Canis lupus familiaris: one gene and its partner. The protein of the gene in region 1 purifies or fractionates together with the protein of each later gene. This does not show direct contact. Links are inferred from orthologs where the notes say so. Each region holds a gene or a part of one and is shown in the gene's direction. Other genes may lie near its edges.

The links.
Region 2: the proteins of HNRNPA0 (region 1) and DHX9 purify together in Homo sapiens (affinity purification with mass spectrometry; 3 studies listed by BioGRID and IntAct, with this or other methods). This does not show direct contact. The link is inferred for Canis lupus familiaris from reciprocal best matches to the Homo sapiens genes HNRNPA0 and DHX9.

Annotation. Positions count from the first base shown.
Region 1 is NC_049232.1:25,501,658-25,505,563, reverse strand, and holds HNRNPA0 (heterogeneous nuclear ribonucleoprotein A0), read left to right. Parts: upstream 1-1,032; 5' UTR 1,033-1,373; coding exon 1,374-2,306; 3' UTR 2,307-3,890; downstream 3,891-3,906. UniProt on the Homo sapiens protein: mRNA-binding component of ribonucleosomes. Specifically binds AU-rich element (ARE)-containing mRNAs. Involved in post-transcriptional regulation of cytokines mRNAs.
Region 2 is NC_049228.1:16,111,687-16,115,592, forward strand, and holds the start of DHX9 (ATP-dependent RNA helicase A), read left to right. Parts: upstream 1-1,111; 5' UTR 1,112-1,254; intron 1,255-3,906. UniProt on the Homo sapiens protein: Multifunctional ATP-dependent nucleic acid helicase that unwinds DNA and RNA in a 3' to 5' direction and that plays important roles in many processes, such as DNA replication, transcriptional activation, post-transcriptional RNA regulation, mRNA translation and RNA-mediated gene silencing.

The DNA of each region.
Region 1 (3,906 bases):
CAGGTTATAAAATGCCTTTAAAAAAAAAAAGCTAACGGTTTGGTTGGGAAGGAAGCAACGCACAGGTAACGTCAACATAGAAAACGGTGTGTTCCCCTCGGTCAATGGGCAATGCCAGCTGTGCGCGAGCGAGCGTGGGCTTCGGGCCGGAGGGTGGCGGGGGTCTGGCGCCGCGCCTCGATGGGAAGTCGGAGCCGCTGGTGGCACGCCGCCGACCTCCGCCGGGCCTCGGGCTCGCCCCTGCGCGGCACCACGCGCCCGCGCTGCACTTTACCTGAGGCTCGGGCCCCCGGGAAACCGTCAGTAACCGCCTTTCCCGATCAGGCCTCTGCCCTCCATCTTTGTGCGGGCGGGGCGGCCGGGCTGCCAGGTGTAGCGGCCCCGCCGAACCGCGGCGGGGGAGCCCAGGCCCCCAACCCCAACAGTCGAGTTTTCAAAAAGCCCGCGCGTGGCGCGCCCCAGGTCGCATCCGTTGGGAACTGCCCCCGGCGCGCCCCCGCTGACCCCCCCCCGCCCCAAGCCCGGGACCAGGGGCAGCGTCCGGGCGGCAGGCAGGTTCTGCACCCGGGGGGCGCACCGGGGAGCGCGCCCGTCCAGCGGCGGCCGAGACCGGAAGTGGGCGCGAGCGCATCGCGGTGATTGGCTGCAGCCGCACGTCCCTCAAGGGGCTGGCGCGAACGCCACTGCGGAGTGGGGCGAGGGGATACGGCAAGGGGAGGGGGCAGCACGCTGGGAACAGCCGCGGGGCTGGGAGGAGAGGAATTGCGGAGCTGCGCGGGGAGCCGGGGGCGTCCGTGGTCGGGGCACCCGGGGAGCCGGGGCGTGAAGCCCGGCCTACAGAGGCGGCGGCGGGAGCCGCGCAGGCCGAAGGCTTGAATCGACCGCGGAGGGCGGGGAGTCGGTGGCCGAGAGCGGCGCCGCGGCGCGGTAGGCGGGACTAGGGAGAGCGACGCAGGGATTGGCGGGCGGCGCTGGGCGGCCGTACGTCGGCGGTGACGCACGCCTCGGGGAGGGTGCGCGCGCGTTCAGCGGCCTCTTTGTGTGGTGCCCAGATAGGGGAGCGGAGGCGGCGGCGGCGGCGGCGGCGGTGGTGGCGGCGGTGGCGGTAGCGGTAGCGGTAGCGGTGGCGGTAGTGACGGCCTTGGTTGTCTTCCAGTCTCCTCGGCTCGCCCTCTAGCCAGCACCTCTCCCCTTCCCTCCCCCTTCCTCTCTTCCTCCTTCCCTCCCCTTCCCTTCCTCCCTTCCCCGTCGGTGACGGCGGTGGCGGCTCCAGCAACGGCTGGGCCCAAGCTGTGAGGAGGCCTTAGCCAGCGATAACGGCGACGGCGAAACCTCGGAGCTCGCAGGGCGGGGGGAAGGCCCGGGCCGTGGAGATGGAGAATTCCCAGTTGTGCAAGCTGTTCATCGGCGGCCTCAACGTGCAGACGAGTGAGTCGGGCCTGCGCGGCCACTTCGAGGCCTTTGGGACTCTGACGGACTGCGTGGTGGTGGTGAACCCCCAGACCAAGCGCTCCCGTTGCTTCGGCTTCGTGACCTACTCCAACGTGGAGGAGGCCGATGCCGCCATGGCCGCCTCGCCCCACGCCGTGGACGGCAACACGGTGGAGCTGAAGCGGGCGGTGTCCCGGGAGGATTCGGCGCGGCCCGGTGCCCACGCCAAGGTTAAGAAGCTCTTTGTCGGGGGCCTTAAGGGAGACGTGGCGGAGGGCGACCTGATCGAGCACTTCTCGCAGTTCGGCACGGTGGAAAAGGCCGAGATTATTGCCGACAAGCAGTCGGGCAAGAAGCGCGGCTTTGGCTTCGTGTATTTCCAGAATCACGACGCGGCAGACAAGGCCGCGGTTGTCAAGTTCCACCCGATCCAGGGCCATCGCGTGGAGGTGAAGAAGGCCGTGCCCAAGGAGGATATCCACTCCGGTGGGGGCGGAGGCGGCTCGCGGTCCTCCCGGGGCGGCCGGGGCGGCCGGGGCCGCGGCGGGGGTCGAGACCAGAACGGCCTGTCCAAGGGCGGCGGCGGCGGCGGCGGCGGTTACAACAGCTACGGTGGTTACGGCGGCGGCGGCGGCGGCGGTGGCGGCTACAATGCCTACGGAGGCGGCGGAGGCGGTTCGTCCTACGGTGGGAGCGACTACGGTAACGGCTTCGGCGGCTTCGGCAGCTACAGCCAGCACCAGTCCTCCTACGGGCCCATGAAGGGCGGCGGCGGCGGCGGCGGCGGTGGCAGCAGCTGGGGCGGTCGCAGTAACAGTGGACCTTACAGAGGCGGCTACGGCGGTGGCGGTGGTTATGGAGGCAGCTCCTTCTAAAAAGAAATCTAAATATGCCTGGGAGTGGCTATAGGGGTAGCTCTTCTACACCCCAGCTGGGGTAACTCCTACGTTCTTTACTCTCCCACCACCGCCTTCCCCGTTTTGCCCTTGGGGGAGCCGCTTCTAAGGCTGCTTATCCTTGGGGGTGTTGCCCTATTTGCCTGCCACCTCTCTTGTCTCTCCCTCTGAAGATGGACTCGGCCCCACATACACATTTTTGTGTTACAGTCATTGATGGACTCTATTTTTTTATTATTACTTGGACCTTGGTCGTTTTTATACTAGCAAAATGTCTTGTTTTAATTTGTGTTTTTTTTTTTGGGGGGGGAGGGAGTGAACTTGCTGATTCTGTAGCAAAACCTGGGCGGGGGTTGGGGGGGGGTAGTTTACTTTGTTGTAAGGACTTGATATCTGGCTACAGCGTTTTCTATGAAATCTACTTGGATCCCATGCCTGAAATTTGGACACATATGTACAAAAATCATTTTTACGTTTTATTTTTAATAAATCATTGTGTTTGACCGTATATGTCTAACATTTTTTTTCTAGGATCTATTACGTACCGTTTTAAGGGATATTAGTTAAAATTTTTTCGTGTTAATTCTAAATTCTTGATGTGTACTTGAAGACACTTTTAAAAGGTCCTTTGGTGGCTTTTTTTTTTTTTCCTGTTGCTCTTCTAGTGACGTGTTGAGTTTTATCCCTACAGGCAAAACTTTTGAAGTGGTGGATGTAGTTTTTTAAAATCTTCAAAGTTTCTGTGCATCCATCTCATACTAAGCGATTTGCTTATCTTGACATGGTTGGTCACTTCTTTCTATGAGAATTTACTTCAAAGTATGTACTGGTAGTTCAAAAAGAAATAGTTTGTGTTAAGCATGTGTTTTCATTCATATAAACTGTTTAAAATTTTTCAGATGGCCTAGTTTCATCCCTCTTACTGGTTTGTCTGTAATAAATGGTTACAAAGAAGGGTTATATTTTACCCTTAAACTAAATGCATTTTTGTATTTTCAGAGCAGGTTTAAACGTTTTTTCCTATAGCTGAACTGTTGTCCTCTTGGAAATCCTTCCCCCAACCTTTGTAGCACCATCTACTGGCAGAATGGCAGTATCTCTGCAAAAACCATTTGTTTTAAAAACTTGTTTAGGATAATTGCATCAGATTTAGAAATTTTGCCATCAAAGATCTGTGCAGACTTTGGTTACACGTTTACTTGTAACGAAGATGGGCTTTATGGGAATGTAGTTAACAGTCCATATCACAATTGCCCTTTCTACACAAGATTTGAAAATGTAAACTGCTACGCATAGCTTGGGCAGTGGCCCGAAATTGCTATGACAACTAATGAACCAGCTACGTGTACTGGTATCTTAGGTGCAAGTTGTAAAGCAAAGTATTTGTGTATTCTGCTTGGTTAACAAATGTATATTTGTAGCCCTTTCATGCAATAGAATTCAAGTTGTTGTTTATAAAAAAAAACAAAACAAAACAATGATATAGGAGAAAATTGCCTTCCTGGTTAGAAATATAGAATAGCATCGTTTATGGATATCACAAATAAAGAATTCAATTCTTTACATGATTGAGTGAGAG
Region 2 (3,906 bases), on another chromosome or scaffold:
CTCTCATGAATAAATAAATAAAATCTTTAAAAAAAATAAAATAAAATTTCTATTTGATACTTCATATTTATTCCAGTGTTTTCATCTATTCTCTTGAACATACTAATTGTAATTTTTATAAAGTCTCTGATAATTTCAATATCTGAATCATTTATGATCATAGTTCTATTTTTTCCTCTTGATTTTCAGTCATTTGTTTTGTCTCCTGGCTTGCCTGGGGACTTTTTTTTTTATTGAATTTGGGCGATTCTATAAAAAAATTATAGAAATTATAGGTCATTCTGTCTTCCTCTTCTGGCAGAAAGAGAAAGCTAGAGCACTTTGGTCCAACGAGGAAGTGAGATGATTCAAGGCTGGTTTTCATTCACCTGAGTTTGTCCTTGCTTTTAGAATGTACCCCTGCAGGAGGTATCAGATGAAAGTCTGGGCTCTGTGCCTTGGTGAACTCCAGGTTTTGTCTCTCCAGTACCATGAGGCTCCTGAATGCTCTACCTAGCTTTTAGCCTAGGCAGCTTAGGAATCAGCAAATGCATCAAAGTGAAAAGTGACACAAAAGCTCCGATGTGAAAAAAAAATTTTTTTAAAAAGCTCTCATGTTTCCCTTTCCCCAGGATATTAGCTGCCTTGCCTCTAATGCTTCAAATAGCTGTCTTGTTTTGACTTTTTTTTTTTTTTTTTTTGCTTCAGATTTTGGAGTTGCTTTTGGCAAGAGAATTGGTTTGCTAAAAGCTACTCTATCATACACAGAAGTCATCTCCAAATGCAAGCTCTGTGAGAAAAGGATCTCACATCTGTCTTATTTATGGCTATTTCCTAGTACCAATAGTGCCTAGTACCAAAACAAAACAAAACACCCTTCAATAAACATTGATGTTAATTAATGTAAGAACTAAGCCCTATATCTGTCCTTGACATCTATATCATTTACAGCCCTCCGTATCTATCCAAGGGAGTCTAGGGTAGGTAGCACAGCACGGGAAGAATGGGGTCTGGATCTCCTTGGCAACCGGACGCCACGCGCGGGCACGGTAGCCGCGGCCCCGCCCCTCCCCCCCGGGGCGCCCGCGGCCCCGAGCTCGCTCCCTGCGCATGCGTACGCGCGCTGGCCCCGCCCCCCTGGCGCAGCCGTCGGAGCCATTTTCTCCGCCGCCTCCGCGCAAGCTGCGGTGCGTTAAGCGGGCGTCTCTGAGGGAGGCCGCGGCCACGGAGGGTTCTGAGAGGGCTGCGTTCTCGGACACCGGAAGGCGGACGCCGGTAGGGTAGAGACGTCTTTGCCACCCGTTGTGGGGCGCGGGGCCCCGCGCTCCTGCAGCCGGGCTTTGTTGCGAAGCGCGGGCGGCGGTGGCGGGTGGGGGAAGGGGCGAGGCGCCCGCTGGGTTCCCGGATTACGGGCTGCATGCGGCTCGCCGCGCCTCCCCCCGCCTCCCCCCGCCTCCCCCCGCCTCCCCCCGCCTCCCCCTGCCTCCGCTGCCCGGGCCCGTGCGGCGGACCCGTTACCCCCGCCCCCCCACACACCCTCGTCCGCGGCCCCGAGCCCCACGTTCTCCCGCGGCCTGCACGCCGTGCTTGCTCTTGGCGGGATCGCGGGGCTGGCGAGGCCGCCGTGACGCCGCACACGCCCGAGGCCCTTCATCCATTCATTTCGGCCACAAAGACCGGGCGCTGTCCTGCGGGTGCGGTGGCGGGGCGGTGAGCACGTGGGGGCGCAGTCCCTCCCTCTTCCGCGGGGAGGTTTCGGCGGTGGGAGGAGGCTCCGGCAACACCAGCGTCTGCAGGCTGCGGTCAGAAGCTTGAGAAAATGGAAGGTCGTCGAGGGAGAAGGCTGGTTTCACCCGGGCGGCCGGGGGGAGAGCGGACTTCCCGAGCGGATGAGGTCGAGGATGCGTCAGCTCCGAGATGCGGGATCAGTTAGCGCTTGAGAGCGGGAGTTGGGGAAGAAACGGCGAGGAGGCCCTGTTACCTAGAGCGTATTTTGAAGGGTGAAGAGAATGGATTTCAGGACGGTCAGCGTGAAAAACGGCGATTTAGATACCTAGATCCAGGGCGTGATTGCAGGAGGCCGGGGGGTGCGGCAGTGGTGGCAGCGGACGGACGGACGGACGGACGGACGGACAGACGCGCAGGGGGTGCAAAGCTGGTTTTGGAGGCGGAATGGCGTGTAGGTCAGGAGCCCGCCTGCCGGGCCTGGAAGTCTGGCTCCTCCCAGCTGAGAGAGCTCTTGTCTTCTCTGGGGCGAAGGATTTGGGGATTTTTGTGGGGTTTTTTTGTTTTGTTTTGTTTTTGTCTCAGTTTATTAAACGGGGAGAATAAGTATTCTCATCTGCATAATTATTGTAAGGGTTTAGGAAAAGTCGTTTACGTGTAGATGATCCCCTAAGGCTTTACTGACTGGTGTGCAAACGGAGAGTCCTCCAAGGGATGGCTGTGGAGGGCATTATTAAGGGAGCGTAGGACTCCCAGCTTGTGACGGGGGTAACTTGGCGGTGCCATTTCAGGAGGTGGAAACACTTGGACTGCGGGGAGGAAGGGTCAGGTGTGGAAAGGAAACGTCTGTTTTTACTGAGATGTCAGGTTAGCGTTTGCACATGAGCGCCGTAGTTGGATGATACTTGATTTTGGAGCTTTGAAAAGACTATTTCAATATATGTTTGGGCACGATCAGCATATAGTTGATAATTGAGTATAGTGGCGTTCGTTGAGACTGCCTAAGGAAGGAATTTGATAGTGTAGTCTTTCATATTTCATGGTACTCCTTCACCCTGAGGTTCTTGTTTTTTGGTTTTGTTTTGTTTTTTGTTTGTTTGTTTGTTTTAGTTGATTATTCAGGGGTGGAATTTACAGATGGACATCGGGAGCTTTCCACCGCTTTTCGGTCAATAGGATTTACCCAGGTTAACCTGTGGCTACAGAATAACCTTATACTAGGGTCCAGTTTCATGACGTTAGATTTAGGTGCTAACAAAATGCACTGAACAGAAGAAGTAATAGGGTTTCTTCTCACACACAAACTATTTTTTTTTTTTTGCATATCTTTTCCAGATTAAGTTTGGTCTTAGATATCTTGCCTTTTTTTTTAATACTTATTATTTATTTTGAGAGAGAGCACGCACGCACATATGTGCAATGAGGAGCAGAGGGAGGGGGAAAGAGAATCTCCAGCAGACTCCTTGTTGAGCTCAGAGCCCACCCAGGGCTCTATCCCAAGACCCTGATTGTGGCCCTAGCCGAAATCAAGAGTCAGAGGCTTAATTGAGCCACCCAGGCATCCTTCATATATCTTGCTTTTGATTTAGATTCAGATTTTTTTTTTAAAGATTTTATTTATTTATTCATGAGAGACACAGAGAGAGAGAGAGAGAGAGGCACAGACACGGGAAGAGGGAGAAGCAGGCTCCAAGCAGGGAACCCGACGTAGGACTCGATCCGCAGGACTCAATCCGGGGACTCCATGATCATGGCCTGGGCCAAACGCAGGTGCTCAACTGCTGAGCCACCCAGGCATCCCTAGATTCAGATTTTAGACTCATAGGCTCCATATCATTTGGTGTATTTATAAACTAGTTTAGAGGGAGAGTGCCAACAAGTATGGTATGGTGCATATCAAGAAAACTTAGTATCCTCAAATTATAATGAATAAAAAGGCCTAAAGGAGAGATTGGGTGCTTAACAGATTAGTATTTTTATTATTTTTTAAGATTTTATTTATTTATTCATAGAGACACAGAGAGAGAGAGAGACAGAGACACAGGCAGAGGGAGAAGCTGGCACCATACAGAGAGCCTGACGTGGGACTGGATCCAGGGTCTCCAGGATCATGCCCTGGGCTGCAGGCGGCGCTAAACTGCTGCGCCACCGGGGCTGCCCCAGATTAGTGTTTTTAGTCTAAGTACTGAATACTTGGTGTAT